2 linked regions of the Tamandua tetradactyla genome follow. The protein of the gene in region 1 purifies or fractionates together with the protein of each later gene. This does not show direct contact. Links are inferred from orthologs where the notes say so. Each region holds a gene or a part of one and is shown on either strand. Other genes may lie near its edges.

Region 1 (7,556 bases):
TGGTATGTATTATGTATGAGTTTTTTTCTTTTTCTTTTTTATTTCTTTTTCTAGGTTGATGCAAAGTTTCAGCTCATTCTAGGGTTTTTCTTAATCCCTTGATGCTGAATCTCAGCTCATTCTGGGATTTCTGTCCCACGTTGCCAGGAAGAGCCACACCTGTGGGAGTCATGTCCCACGTAGACAGGGGGAGGGTGGTGAGTTTACTTGCTGTGTTGGCTGGAGAGAGAGGCCACATCTGAGCAACAAAAGAGGTTCTCCTAGGGGTGACTCTTAGGCCTAATTTTATGTAGGCTTGACCCCTGTGGGGTTAAGTTTCATATGAACAAACCCCAAGACTGGGGAAAGCCCATTTTTTAATAAGTCACTTCATCTGAAATTATAAAAGAAATTTTCTTATATTAACAATGATACAAACAGTGGTTATGTTCTTAGGTTCCCTTCAACTACTTAATTTAAAATTAATACAAAATATAGTCCAATCTAAGTATATCTATGATACATAAGTAACATTTTATAGAATTATTTCCAGGATTCCAAATTGGAAGGTATTATTTCAGTTATTTACTGCTATGTAACAAGTTATTCAAAACTGAGCAGCTTAAGGCACTAACTTTTTAATTATATCTCAGGATTTTAATGGGTAAGGAATTTGCTTCAAGGGGTATAAACTGAGATTACTCAGTGGTATTCAACTCGTGGATGTGCTGGTCTGGACAGTTCAAGATGGCTTCATTCCCATGCCTGGCACCTAGGTGGGGATGGCTGTAAGGCTGTGGTCTGCTGGCTCTGTTGACTGGAATGACTACATATGGCCTCTCCAGCATGATGTTCTCAGGGAAGTTGTTTTTGTTACATGGCAGTTCAGAGTTCCCAGAAAGACTGTTTGAAGAGACCAAGGCAGAAGCTCTGAAGCTTCTTCTCACCTACTGTCAGATGTCATGAGATATCACGCTTTGGCCACATTTACTGAATCACAGGGCCGGTCCAGATTAAAGGAGAGGGACTACACAAAGTTGTGAATTCATGTAGGCCTGGTTCATTGGAGGATCATCTTTGGAGATTCTTCCACAGCAGATATTTAATATTCTAACTGTGTGCAGGTGAAAGTACCACTCACATCTTCACCAGGAAAAGTTATATTAATGAGTCTCAATGGACTCTTAAAGAAATCTACTGTTCCACTGCTAAGGCTGAATAATGAAAACATTTTTTATACTTGGAAGAAAACTGGGATTAACCAGTTTTTTATCAATCTTTTGGTCCCCTAACAAAATATTTCTTAAAGCTGTTTTTGCCTAGTACCGCTATTCTTTATTAGCACGACAGAATAATTTTTGTATCTGTGCTTTTCACATAGTGTTTTTCTCTGCCCTGGTTCAGTGATGACACTCAAGATCTTTGTTTTTCCTTGCTGAAAAGTATCTGTTTCAGGACTGAAAACAGAAGGCTCTTGCAGACACTTCCCTTTTTGGCTTTTGTTTTCATAAAGCCTGAGCTTCCAGAATCTGTTGGGAAAGGGGAAGGAAGTGTCAAGATTTGAAAGGCAACAGAAGTTGGTCAATACCATGAGGAGCAGAGGTTCTTAGAACTTCATTCCTTGGCCCTTTCACCATTCCTTTCCCTTCCCACAACCAGGAAGTCTCCTAACTCACTTCTTTGGAATCTCTAGGGATCCATGGAGTGGTGTCTAAAAATCACTACTCTAAATCAATCATTCCTCATATCTTCTGAACTGGTTATAAAGGGGAAGGATGGAGTAAAAGTTGAGGAACTTCAGATATGGGTGACTGTGCTTCTTTTCTGGATTGTAGGGCATGAAGGAAACAGAGTTAAGAGGTGATTATAACTTTTCTAGCCTGGGAGTATGGAAGATGATGATACTCATCATCACAACTGGAAAGCTGAATAGTTGAATTAAATATTGGCAGGGAGCAGAGGATAATTAATTTTATTTCTGCAGAGTTAATTTTGAGATTATGATAGAGCATTCTAAACAAGGTGGCCTCTAGGCAACTGGAGATGGAAATGTCACACAAGTGAAAAGCTGGGATTGACACAGATTTGACAACTGTTGAAGTGAGCTCATAGAGAAGAGCAGTGGGCAGAGGACAAAGCCTTCAAGAAATTCTGCTGCAGTGTGGCTGAAAGTTGGTGGCCCATCTGACATCTACAGCCTGCAGGAATGTTTTACCTAGCGTACACATTATTTAAATTATTTTTAAATAAATGGGCAATTTATTTAAGAACTGGGAGTTTTCACAAAATCTGGGTTATGGCTTTTCTTGAAAATAGGAAGACTTGACAGTGTTAGCCTATCTTGCCCATGGAGGAAGTTGAGTCCCCACTGCCTCCTTTAGATGAAGGAGCGGCTGTCCAGGTGAACACGGTCCCTTCTAATAAACTTCACCTACTTAATGGCAGCAAAAAAGATTAAAAACAACAGACACCAAAAGTGTTAGATTTTGTTGTTGTTTTACAGACGGGGAGAATAAACATATTTGTTTTCTCCCCCCCCCCCCACACACACCCCTTTAGAGAGGTTGAGAAAAGGGAGAAATCAAAGTTGTTAGAAGATGGGGACCATTAATAGGATCCAGAGAGTAGATGAAGTTGGAAAATGCAGATGAAAAATTAGTCTTAGGGAAGGAAAGCACTGTCATCCCTGGAGTAAAAATCTGTCATTCACCAGACTGGACTAACAAATACACATAAAGCCAGCTGCAAAGTTAACAAGAAATAGTATTTCTCCCAAGGACATGTTGCATCTGTAAAGAGTCACAATGATCCCATTCTTTGAGTGACTTTTGCTTTCTTACTGAGAAACTTTGATCTCTAAAATCAGACTATCAGAAATTGCTGTTAGAGATTATAGCATTAAGAATGAAACATCCCAGTGTCACCTGGAGGACTGAAGACATAGAAAAGAAGCCTCAAATTCCAAGCCAGGTGCAGAGCTTTGGAGAAGGGGTCTCTGAAGACTACATTCCATGTCTCTCACCTTTATAATTTCTAAAGGAACAGGACCCTGGGTCCACTTGGCGGTCCAGTCCCGGTACTGACCCCTTGACTCACACAGCCGGTCCAGTCCCGGTACTGACCCCTTGACTCACACAGCCGGTCCAGTCCCGGTACTGACCCCTTGACTCACACAGGTGTGCTGCGCTTTGTGCTTCTCAAAACAGTGTTTCATCTAAATTTTACATAAACTCCATACATCTCCCTAATCCCGTGATAACTCCATCTTTTCCTTTGTTTGGTGAGATGCCCTAGGGTTCCTCCCAGGTGTGAGTTTTTCCTCATTGCAACGAGTTCAAAAACCTGAATCTTTTGGGGCTGTGGGTTAATCTTCGGTGGTACTAGGATGATTGGGCCAGGAAGGCACACTGGAGGTTTTCATTCCAAGCCTTCATTTTACAAACAAAAACTGGAGACCGAAAAAGAGTTCCTAACTGTCTTTTCAGTTCTCCTTCCCCAGAGCCTCAGTCATTTACACATGAAGCTATATATCCTCTATGACATCCTTCCAAAAAGAGGAAGCGAAATCAACCGTGGCGGGGTGCTCCTCAGACTTGCAATACACACGTTTACCTGAGCCTTTTAAGAACATCTTTCTGCTAACTCCAGCTCAGTCGTTTCTCAGATGTTGGGATTGATAATGTCTTAAAATTTATTATCAGCGAAGTGGAACCCTCCGATTCACCGATGGCCTCACACACCTCACCCTAGTGTTCCGTATTTCTTCAGCAACTTTCTTTCTCGCTTCCCTAGAGGGAATTTCTTTTTCCTTTTTTATTCTGGTCTCCCCAGCCGACTGTCAGGAAGGAGCAACCTCTTAAAGAGAAAGCCATGTTCCACTCTTCATCCAAATCCTCTTCCTTTGTCTGAGCAGCCGTTCTAAAAAAGTTGGGCTAGGAATCAATTTCTCCTCCAGAACAAAACTAAAGCAAGCGCTTCCTTTTAGGAATATAGCATTTTATTAAAACATACTACACGAACTGTTTAAACAACTCCCAACCCCCGACAAAGAAAAGAAAGCGCTGGGGAATATCAGTGGCAGGCGGCGGGGAGTATCCAAACGCGGTCTTTCAAGGTAGCATTCCGAGAAACTTGAATTTGCAGCTCCTCACCGAGGAACGGTCGCGGGAGGTGCCGGCTGATTGGTCGCCCGAGTGCCTCGGCCCCGCCGCGCCTGCGCCTGCGCCGTCCCCGCCCCGCCCTGAGCTGCCCTCCCCCGCTGGCCGCCGCACCCCCTAGCTCCCCTCAGCTCCCCGCCGCCCGGTCGCCGCGCCTGCGCCTGCGCCCTGGAGACTGTCGGATCAGGCGGTCTCCCGCAAGCCGGCGAGCGCACTACCGGGAGGGCAGACAGGTCAACCCGGCGGGCTCTTTCTCGAGGAGGAAGGAGGGGGCGGCATTCTGGGTCTTCAGAATTCCCGGAGGTCCCGCAGTCTGCCCCGGCCGACAAGGGAGAAGTTGGGGAGCTGCGGGACGCTCTGCCGAGTGCCGCCGCCATGGCTGCCATGATGGATCGGAAGTGAGCCTCAGGCCGACGGCTGCCGGCGCCGGCGCTTCCAGTCTCCGCTCCCCGGCTGCCCCGCCCGGGGACGCGCGGCGCGGCGTCTGCGGAATCTCCGTACCCCCGCGACCCGGGCTCGCTGGCGCTCCCCGGAGACCAGAACCTCATCAGCTCGTGCTTGCTTTCTCCAAGACTAAGCAGCGGGGAGTGGCTCCCGGCCTCCAGACCCGGCGGCGAGGAAGATGGCGGACCCGGCCGAGTGCAACATCAAAGTGATGTGTCGCTTCAGACCTCTCAACGAGTCTGAAGTGAACCGCGGCGATAAGTACGTCGCCAAGTTTCAGGGAGAAGACACGGTCATGATGGCGGTGAGTGGTTCCCCCCTCCCGCCCGTCCCTGGTCATCGGACCTGGCTGGTCGGGGAGTTCAGGGCAATGGCGAGGTGCAGAGTTGAGAAGGGAGTAGTGGTGTCCCAGCCCTCCCCACTTGGGTTTGCCGGTTCAGATAACCGTTGATAGGAAGACTGCGCAGCTGCCTGGGTTTTTCTGAATCGTCCCCACCCTGGTCTTCGGTGCCCGGTGATGGGAGGTGCCTAGACTCAGGCTGGGACACTCCCCCACCCGGGGCGCTGGAGGAACCATCCGGGGAGCAAGTTTAGTGCATAGTTGCGTTTGTTTAGGTGTGTGTGTGTAGTTACTGTTGGTGGTGCTTGTTGTTTTGGACAACCCCCATTCATAAAATACTTAGGAGAAAGTAGTTCAGCTAGCAATATTGAACTATGAGGCCAGCCCTACTGTAACTTAAATAGAGGAGATGGCTTTGTTTTATAGAAATATATAACTGCATGTTCAACCGTATTGTTTCTGTCTCGGGAGGAGAAAAATTAGCAAAATAATTCAAATATGCTTGTACCTCAGATGTTCACTCACCAGCCTTTGGAGTTATGAGTGACTTTTCTTATTAACAAAAGCAAATGGCGAATCGAGACCTAAAAAGAATAGTCAGATCGGTCAAATAAGTGCCCAGAAGGATCCAAAATCTCCCCCTTACTGGGTTTTATGATATAATTATCTAGGAAAGAGCTTTACTATTTGGTGTATATCAGAAAGAATTATAAGAAGCAAACTTTTGAAAAAGATAGAAATTGACCAGTGAACTAGATTTCTCATTCTTGGTATTAGAGTCATACTTAACAGTTAGAATCCGTGGTGAAGAAAATTCATTTAGATAATCCCAACGATGCTGACCTAGTGTCCCTTTGTAGGGTAAAGCATAACTTAACTAGAATTGGTTTATCATTGTCAAGGGGAGCAGAATGTGAGGTGGTTGTTTTTTGATACCTGATTTTTATGCTTCTGAAAATGTAATATGGTATAATCCCATAGGACGTGAAAACAATGCTAGTCAGAATTCTAGAGGAAGGCATATCCCTACCAGAAGTGTGTCTTTCATAACCAAAAGGTCTCTGAAAATAACATTCCCAGTTCAAGGAGGTTAACGTGCATAGTAAGATACTGCATACAGAATAGTGAACTGTGGCCAAAAATAAGATTCTTCTTTCTTGGTAATAGCATGTGGCAGAACTTTTTTCTGCGTGGCTTTCGTGGTACCAATTTTTAACATGTTGATTTTTTTCCCTAATGGCATCTGTATTTACTATGTTGTTTGGGTAGCTTAATTTGGAAATGAGGGCAAAGAAGCCACAGGAGATGGGATATTGATGATTGTAAGTATTAGCATATAACTCCTTTGAGGTTTTATGTGAAGGCTCCCAAAATTCAGCTCTAGAAAATGCACGCATTAGCTCCACGTTGCTCTTGGTAGGCTTTTGGCAAACAAGTCATTAGATCACTAACACAACTGCCAACTCTTACTGTGTGAAGACTGTCAGGCTGTTTCTTTGTTAACAAGTCCACAAGAAAAACTCTTGCTATTAATGACATCATTGGGAAGACAAGAAGTTAAGTACAAAAGAAATCAGTCATCTTTTCCTTTAGAATTGTCTTCTTTGCATGGAATCAGAGGAAGCTTGCAGGGCCTGGGTTGTTAGTTGGCATACATCAGGCGTCTAGTTTCTCAGAGTTTTTGTGATTTCCCAGTTTCAACAGTGTTTGACACATCAAAGCTATTTTCCTTTAAAGCTTGTATTAAGAATGTCTTATTTCTCCAGGTTTTTTGAGTATGCAGTATCTGTAAGCATTGCTAATACTCTTTTGCTAGAATGCTAAAATTTAAAATTCATAAATTGTATTAAGGATAGGTTGGAAGTCAACCTTCTACTGCAGCCCAAATATGACATATAAAATGAGGAAAGAGCTAAAAGAAACAAATAATTACCACGGGAAGCATATGTCTATTCTAAGTAGTTTCCTTTGGAATAAGTTAAGTTGTAACCTCCTTGGAAATGTTAATAAATTTAAATGATAATATTGGAAATAATGGATAGGTGATTGAGTTGTGAATCAATTAATAACAGTTGACCTTAAGATAAACTGGTAGGCATTTTAGTCTGGTTAAAAAAAAAAAGAACAGCAACATAGTATAAGCAAAAATACAACTGAGTGACTAGCCTTGAAAAATGTGAGGCAACATAGTTCATTATTTTCGAGAATTAATTTCTTGCATATAGTAAGTACATTAATTCAAGGCCTCATATTTTTGTTCACTTTATTAAATGAACTGTTTTATTTTTTAAAAAAAGCTTGTTTGGAATTATAACGGTAGCTGGGAAGGGTGAAATTAAAAAATCTCTAAACAAAAATCCTCTCCAGGTTTGTTTTGTTAAACCTACTGGATCCTGATCCTAATTCAAAATATGTAGTTTAGGAGGGAATTGCTGCAATGCAACATCTAAAACTAAATTATTTTAAACATGGTTTTAAAACATTTTCTATACAATGCTCCAGTTAAGTAAATTTGAAGAATAAGTATAGTTTATGCTGTTGCTCATTTAAAAGCATAAACTGCTGATGTAGAAAATAGTTTTTAAGAATTTTTAAGATTTTCTTCAAGGTTCATTTTCTAATACTTTGCTGTTAAA
Region 2 (7,720 bases), on another chromosome or scaffold:
CCTTGTTCTGAAGGAAACAGTTACTGGAACTTTCCGCCTGGCAGCTGGCACGCAAGAGGAACCTGGAAATCTGATAAAATCCATCTTTAGACCATAAAGCCAGAGACCCAGAGAGTGCAGCAGGTCAGAGCCTGAACTGGCCCCGGGCCCCTTGGCTACCCCGGTGGGCAGGATGCCGGCCAGGCCCCACCCGTGCCCCGTCCCCAAGCCTGAGCCCTGCAGACCGCAGACCGCGCTCCAGGACTGCTCCCCGCGCCCTGCTGCTGCCCTTCCTCCTCTCTTCTTGGGTTCTCTTCTCCCCCTCCCTCTCTCTCTCCTCCTTTCTTTCCTCCCCCTCCCCCTTTCCCTTAAATTCACTGAGGATGATGCCTACCAGTGCAGGGTTCTCAGGAGCAAAGATGAACCCAGAACCCCTGCCTGCCCTAAAGGGGCTCCTGGCTGTCCTGGGAGACAGAAATCCAGAGTTTACAGGAAAATGATCAATGCTAAAAGAACAGACACCCCCTTTCCCCCGCCAACCCAGGTTTCCCCAAGACAATTACTGCCTGGCTCAGCACCCATCTGGCCCGGCGCCCTCCCCCTGACCTTCACCTGTGGGGCCTGCCCACCTGCCCAGCGAGTGTCCCTCCTCCACTGTGTGTCCCAGGCCCGGGGTGCCTCACACATGCAGTCCTCAGTCAACAATGGGGACAGAACGAATACGGGGTGGCATGCTCCCCGATTATCTGTGAGGCCTCCGGCCTGACAAACTCCAAGAGGTCGCTATCTGCGCCCTCACGGGACCCAGCTGGACGTTTTCACTGCCCCTGCAACAGGGACTTCAGCCCTGGGGTCTGCTGGGCCCTAGCGGCTGCCTCCAAGGGTGTCGCTTCTGCCCCAGCCTGGCCAGATTTCCATGCTGCCTGTGACTCTCTCCAGTGTGGGAGCACAGCAGTGGGGGAGCTGGGGCTGGCTTAGGAGGAGAAGAAAACAGAGGAGGGCCGAGGACGAAGCCTTGGAGAGAGGGAAGCAGAGAAGAGATGGGAGGAGGGGGCTGAGGCAGGCGGGGGCCCCCTTTTCAGGGTGTGCAGGCACCCTGCGTGCTGAAGAGCCGCTGGCTAATCCCCCACAGCCTGGGGGCCTCAGAGGTGTTCAGAGACAGCCAGGACTTGTGCAAACAGGCATTTCTGGTCCACCCTGGGACTCCCCCCCAGCCACTTATGCTCCCACGGCCCTCTGCACCTCCTGGTTTAGGGGAAGAACAGGCAATTGGTTTGCTGACTCTGAAGTAGCCCCAAGGCCTTCCCCGCTTCCAGGTTCCCACCAGACACTGATGATGACTTGGCTGGGCCTGCATCTGGAGCACAAGGCCCTGTTTTGATTCTGGAACCTGAGGAGCCATTCCTTTCCTGGAGGCAGCAAGAAATCACAGAATTTGCAGAGCGAGTGGAGTGAGGATGCTGAGGGCAGTGAAGGGAAGGCGGGCACGACCCTCTGCCTGGACAGCCCTGCCCTCCTTCCCTCCTGCCCTCCAGCGGGCAGCCAGGCAGATCCTGAGACCACCCCCAGGGTAACTGCGGAGTCACCAGACCTGCAGCCTTCAGGCAGAGCACCCATGTCTTTTTGAGGACAGGCAGATTTCTCTCCAGGGAGGCTGAGGGGTGGAGGGTGGCAGCTCTGGCTGCTAATGGTTCCCTTTAAGGCTTGGCCAAAGGGAGAATGGGAATTCTTGAGGATGGGCCTTAGTTCCAGGGGTCAGAGTGCCTCAAGTGTCTGCTCCACCAAAGGGGAGCTCCGTGCAAAGAGGACCTGGAGGAGGCCATCCCTGACCTTCCTTTCTCTTTTCACCCTCACAGTGGGGGGGGTGAGGAGGGGGTCCAGTTGCCTCCAGCTCTGGGGCTCACTATCAGAGGGGGGTGTCAGCTGTGTAACCTGCCCACATAGTGAAGGAAAGGAGCATAGGGGGAAGTCTAGGGAAGGTGGGAGCTTAGAGGAAGTCTTCTTGGAGGAAATACCTCTTGGCTGATCTTGAAGGAGAGCCAGGACAAGGGGGCAGGGGGTGCATTCTGGGCAGAATGGACACTTAAATCCAGGGTGTGACCATGGGAGGGAACAGGTGAGCTTGGGCATGGGTGAGGGTGTTAGGGGCAAGAGGACCGGGTCCTGTGGGTCTTCCAGATGAAGTTAAGGAGTTTCAACTTGGCCCTGAGAGGGGTGGATGCATCACAACACTTCAAGTCACATCACTAGATTCACATGTTAGGGTGGGGTAGATGAACCCAGCTTTCAGTTCTGTCCCCAACCCTCCAAGCTCATTCTGGCCTGAGCACCTTTGCTAGAGCACTCTTGCCCTGCACCTTTGTGCTGCCTGGTCTCTTCCTTGCTTGTCTCAGCTTTCTTGCCCTAACTCCGAGCCCATCCCTCACTGCTTGCCCAGCGTGGTCTCTGAGCCATGTCTGTTGTACATATCATTTTATGTTCACCCTGATCATGGCACGGCATGCTCAGATATTCCCCACTTCATGTGTTTGTCCATCTGTCTCTTCTCACTGGAATGTAGACTGCTGCAGAACCGGAATCTTCTCTACCCTGCTCACCAACACATTCTTGGCTCTTTTAGTGGGAATCAAAAGAGCTCAAGAAATATTTGCTTAAGGAATAAATGAATGAGATAACAAAGCCTGCACCTGTGGCAGTGAAGGGAACCGGGAAGAGATGAGTTAAATAAATACTGAGGTGGGATCTTGCCACCCCTCAGAAGTGGGGCATAAGGGCCCCAGGTTTCTTGCTTGGGTGATGGGTGCTTGGAAATGCCACTTATTGAGCCTAGAGGCACAGAAAGATAAATGAGCCTCTGCTCAGCCTGTTACGCAGGAGAGAGTGGATGCTCACAGGTCCCCTGCCTGCAGTTGCTGGGCCTGGGCCTACAGCAGTGGCTGAGAAGCAGGCAAGTTAAGGCCGGTGACAACCAGGCGCGATTTGGCCAGTGGAGGGACTTGACTCCGTCCGATTCACTGTCTCACTCTTGGGCTCTGTAACAGCTGTGTCACCATAGGTGCTCCCCCTTTCTTAGCATTTGTAAATATTTCAATATTTCAACATAACTGGACCTCCCTGGAAAAACCTAGGAGACTCACTTCCCTGGTGACCCGTAACTGCAGGGTTAAAATAGGGATAGCATCTGAAGAGGACAGGCACCAGGAAAGGAGTACAGAATGGGGGGGGGGTATGCAGGCGGACACAGGAAGCCCTCCTGCTTCCTAAAGCCACAGGGATATTTCAGGCACCTGGAGGATTCTCCCAAGCTGGTGGCAGGCAACGAAAGCTGAGCCTTGCCCCCTGAATCAGCACCGTCCTCCCGGCCTCCAGGCCGGTTGCTGGGCTGCTGAGTCAGACCTGCAGAGCTGGCAATGCAGCAGGATACACGGGGCCCTCCCTGACCTGGAAGTTCCGCCCTGCAGGGGCCTGGAGGTCCAGGCACTGCAGCAGGGGTGTGCGATGCTGCCAGTGGCTGCGACAGCAGAGCGTGGGCTTCTCTTCTCTTGCCAGGCAGTAGCTGGTTCAGCACCCTGCCCTTTCCCCTATTCCCAGCCCCAAGTGCAGTGTGGGTGAGGCCTTTGTAGGCTTTGAAGGAGGGCCTGGAAAGTCCCTCTAAGCTCACACTCTTGAGGATCCAGGGCCCTGGCGGCAAGGGAGGGGAAATGGGAGATGAGGCGGGCGCAAGGGCCTGGGCCTTTAGGGGCCCGGCTGTTAAGACCCCGAACGTACCCAGGGTCTGGCCAAGCCTTGCAGGAACCCTTCCTTCAGAGGGAGCTCAGAAAGCCTCCTTGCAGGGGGCAAGGTACGATTTCAAGGAGCAAATACGGCTTCCGACCCGGGCTTGCCACAAGGAGCGCCTGTCAGTGAATATCACTCCCGATGTATGAGGCTGAAAGGGGCCGGGCCTCGGGTGGGAAGAGGCCGGGGGCGCGGCGTTGACCGGCAGGGGAAGAGTCGGATTTTCCTCTGCCGCCCTGCCGAGCGCGTCGGGCGGAGCGGCAGCGAGCAGCCCACGGACGGCGCCCTCGCACGCCTCGCCACGTCCCGGCCCAGTGTGAACGAAGCCCCACGGGCTCCGCTCCGACCGCCAGGGACCATCAAAGGCACGCCTTCCCGGGCCTCAGTCTCCCCGCGCGCAGGCGGCGGGGGCCCGTGACGTCATGACAGGGGCGCCGCGCGGCATTGTGGGGTGGGGCGGGGCGCGGGGGAGGGGCTCGGCGCCATTTTCGGCGGCGGAAGCGGTGCCGGCTGCGGAGCTCTGAGCGCCTTTCGGCGGCGGCGGCTGCAAGGAGAGGAGCCGCGAGGAGAGGAGCCTCGTGCTTGCGCTCGGCGACCGAGAGGGACAGCGCGGCGGCCGGCCGAGGATGCTGCGGGTCGGCGGCCGGGTCAGCACCTCTCGCTCGTGACCGCGGCGCCGCGCCTGAGACACCGAGCTTCTCTGCGCGCGGCGGGCGGCCCGTCGGCGGCCCGTGCCCTCCACGTCCTGTCAGCGCGTGGCGAGCGCGGCCCCCGCAGGAGCAGGACGGTGAGTGAGGGCCGCGGCATGGTCGCCGGCCTGTCACCTTCCTGGCCCCGGCCGTCTCCTCGGTCCCCGGCCAGGTCTCGGTTCCGTCCGGGTTCGATGCCCGTCCGGGTCTTCCCGACAACAGCCCCGGTCCCCGGCTCCTCCCGGGTCTCCTTTCGGTGCTTCTCCTGGCTCCTGCCCGGTAACCTTTCCCGGTTCCCGGCCACTCCTCTGTACCCCTGCCCGGCTCCCTGTCTCGCACCGGTCCGTTCCCAGTGTCCATCCTCACCCTTGTTCCCGGCTCCGCATTCCCCGCCCGGCACTCCGCATCCCGGGCCCAACATCCCCCGCCCCCGCATCCCCCCTTCCCTCACGCCGGGCTCGGCCCTGCGGCGGGCGGGGGCGGTAGTTCCCGGGGACCGCTGCGGGTCGCGGGAGTCGCCGCGACGGGGTGGTGGCCGGCCCCGGGGACGGGGCTAGTGGGGAGGAGTGCCGCCGCCCGGGGTCTGCTTTGTCCGAATCCTCCTCCTTCCTTCCGCCCCCGCCCTCTCCCGGGCACCGCCCTGGGCGGACGCGCCTGTCATCCTCGTCGGCGACTGGAGCCGCCCGGGCCTCCATCCGGGGCCGGGTTCAGCAGAGGTCCAGCGTCGCCTGCCCCTTTCTTTTAATAACCCGATGGGAAAAGATTCTGTGCGCGGGCTTAACTCAGAGTGGCCTTGCTGCACCTAGCATGCTGCAGCCTCCGTCGTGGAGCACTTTTTTTTTCAGTCTTGAAATACTTTTTCGGTTATAAAATTTGGCGTCCCTCTTGTCTTGAAAAAAAAAATTAAAATTAAATAAAGCATTTAAAAGCTAAAATCAGTGCGTGGTGGACTGCATGGTTTTATAACTTAAGATTTGTAAGTCTTTTCCAGGTATTTTCTATCTTTGAGTTGTTGAATCTTCAGCGTGTGGTAAGGAGTACTTGCAAAAGTGGTGTTTTAAAAAGCATGAGAACAACGGAAAAGTGAAGATACATGCTATTTAAATTGCTGTGTGAAAGGGCAGTTGGGTATTTGGTTCTTTGCATTAGTTAAATTCCATAGTTTTTGTTTGGTTGGTTGGTTCTTTGTTTTGTATAACATAACTGAGCCATTGATCAAAACAAGTAGCTGGCAATAAGTTGTAATAGTTGAGTGAAAAACCCATTAGGAAATTGGAACAACCTCATTGAGTCTCATAATTGAATCAGGTTGGCAACAAGCCTGTCATAGAGGGAAATTTGACTCATTGTTGTTTCCTAAGTATTTTTAAGAATACACTGGCGTTAACTACTAAAATGTTCAGGTTGTGGGAAATTATTTATGGGAGGGTAGAAACAATTTTCCCCAAGTCATCAAGGAATGCACTGTCATATTGACCCCTGGTGCTGGTAGTGCTCCTTGCCCAGTACTCTGGAAGGCCAGGGTGGAAGCCTCACTGGACCCAGGGTTACTTTTCTTGGCAGTGTTTGCTTATAAAAACACTAGGCAATACATAGGGGGCATATTAAAAAATATGGGGGATTGAGGACAGTGATCAGATCCAAGGAGGCTAGCAGGGAGGAAGGAAATGTCCTCTGAAAGATGCACAGTGTTTTCAGTGTTTCACAATAAATAAAAACTAACTGCAATTTTTAAAATTACATATTCTTCCTTATGTTTCATAATGTTGTCTAAAAAGCCAACATGTAGCTTTCCATATAGGTCTGAAAACTGTTTAAGCATGTTACATAATTCTGTAAAAAGAAAACTAGAAATAGAAAAAGCCAAAAATTGAACAAAATGAATCTGGGAGCATTTTTAGTAGATATGTCACCAAGTAAGTGGTATGATAAACCAGTATTTTATATAACAAAGATAATTGAGTAGTGTATCTTAAACAAGAGTAAAGGAAAATTTTAAGTACCACACTGCAGGGAATAGAATAAAAATGGTAAGCAAATTCAGATCATGAAAGCATGGTGTTTTAAAAACCCACCGTCAAATGTCTATTGAGGACCAAACTCCCTAAATGCTAGATTCTGTGCCATGCAGTTGCAGATATGGCGATAAAAGAGAGTCATTCTCTAGGAAATTCTAGTCTGGGTGGGTGGGGTGAGGGAGACCCAGAATTAAACAGCTAGGCATCGTAGGTGAGGGTAGATTATGTGATGAGTGTGCTGAGAAGGGGTGGGGACCAGGGAAGGCAGGGTCTAGAGGAGGTGACTCCTGATCTGAGTCACGATGGGTGGGAGCTGGTTCTGTGCAGAGAGTGAAGTCTTCCTCCAGTAAGGGGGAAATGTTAGGAAGGGCTGAAGGGTAAGAATGGAAAGATGAGCTTATGGAAGGTGTCTTGGTTGTACAGGAGGCTGGTCTCTTCCTGAGGGGCTTAAGGAGGTCTGGAGGTACTAGTTGATTAGCGGGTGCAGACAGTGGTGTGGTAGGTGGTTTGAACAGAGATGGAAGGATGGAGACTAGTTTGGGAGTTATTGGCAGGAGTCCAGGTGAGCGCAAACTCTCGCGGTGGGAACCAAGAGGAATGGTGGGATTAGAAGGGTTTAACTAACGGCTAGAGGGGATCTGATTTGGTGACTTGCAATGGGGTGATGGTGGGGGCACTGGCAGGAATGGGGTGGGGAAGATTGGGAGTGGAGGAATCCAGGGAGCAAAGCTGGAGTGGTACTGTTAAAATGTGAGTCAGACCGTATGGTCCTCTGCTGGAGTTCTTGCTGCTGTCCCACAGCCCTCACCCCCCACCTCTTGCCCCTGCTGCCCTCACCAGCACGCAGGCGTAGTCGGGACTCTGGAAGTGTGGCAGCCTGCACCTTCCCTCCACGTTACTGAAACCCTGCCCTACTTTATCTTTCACCTTAGCAGTTATCGCTGTCTAAAATACAGTATTATTTTACTTAATTGTTTTATTTTGTTTGTTGCTGTTTCCCCCATTTACATTCTTTTATTTATTTTTATTTTTTACATGGGCAGGCACTGGGAATTGAACCCGGGTCCTCTGGCATGGCAGACAAGCATCCTTGCCTGCTGAGCCAACGTGGCCCGCCCATGGCTTTTCATTTATTTATTTATTTATTTATTTTATTTTTCCCATTTACATTCTTAATCTTCATGCAGGCAGGGATTTGTGTCTGTTCTCTTCAGTGTCAGTGGCTTGATACATAAAGGACACTTACTGAATGGTCGT

What was found. The genes of interacting proteins can lie anywhere in the genome.
Region 2: the proteins of KIF5B (region 1) and KLC1 purify together in Homo sapiens (co-immunoprecipitation; 11 studies listed by BioGRID and IntAct, counting the BioPlex papers as one, with this or other methods). This does not show direct contact. The link is inferred for Tamandua tetradactyla from reciprocal best matches to the Homo sapiens genes KIF5B and KLC1.

What each region holds. Positions count from the first base shown.
Region 1 is NC_135327.1:219,148,375-219,155,930, forward strand, and holds the start of KIF5B (kinesin-1 heavy chain), read left to right. Parts: upstream 1-4,281; 5' UTR 4,282-4,758; coding exon 4,759-4,884; intron 4,885-7,556. UniProt on the Homo sapiens protein: Microtubule-dependent motor required for normal distribution of mitochondria and lysosomes. Can induce formation of neurite-like membrane protrusions in non-neuronal cells in a ZFYVE27-dependent manner.
Region 2 is NC_135340.1:89,202,224-89,209,943, reverse strand, and holds the start of KLC1 (kinesin light chain 1), read left to right. Parts: upstream 1-4,418; 5' UTR 4,419-4,543; intron 4,544-7,720. UniProt on the Homo sapiens protein: Kinesin is a microtubule-associated force-producing protein that may play a role in organelle transport. The light chain may function in coupling of cargo to the heavy chain or in the modulation of its ATPase activity.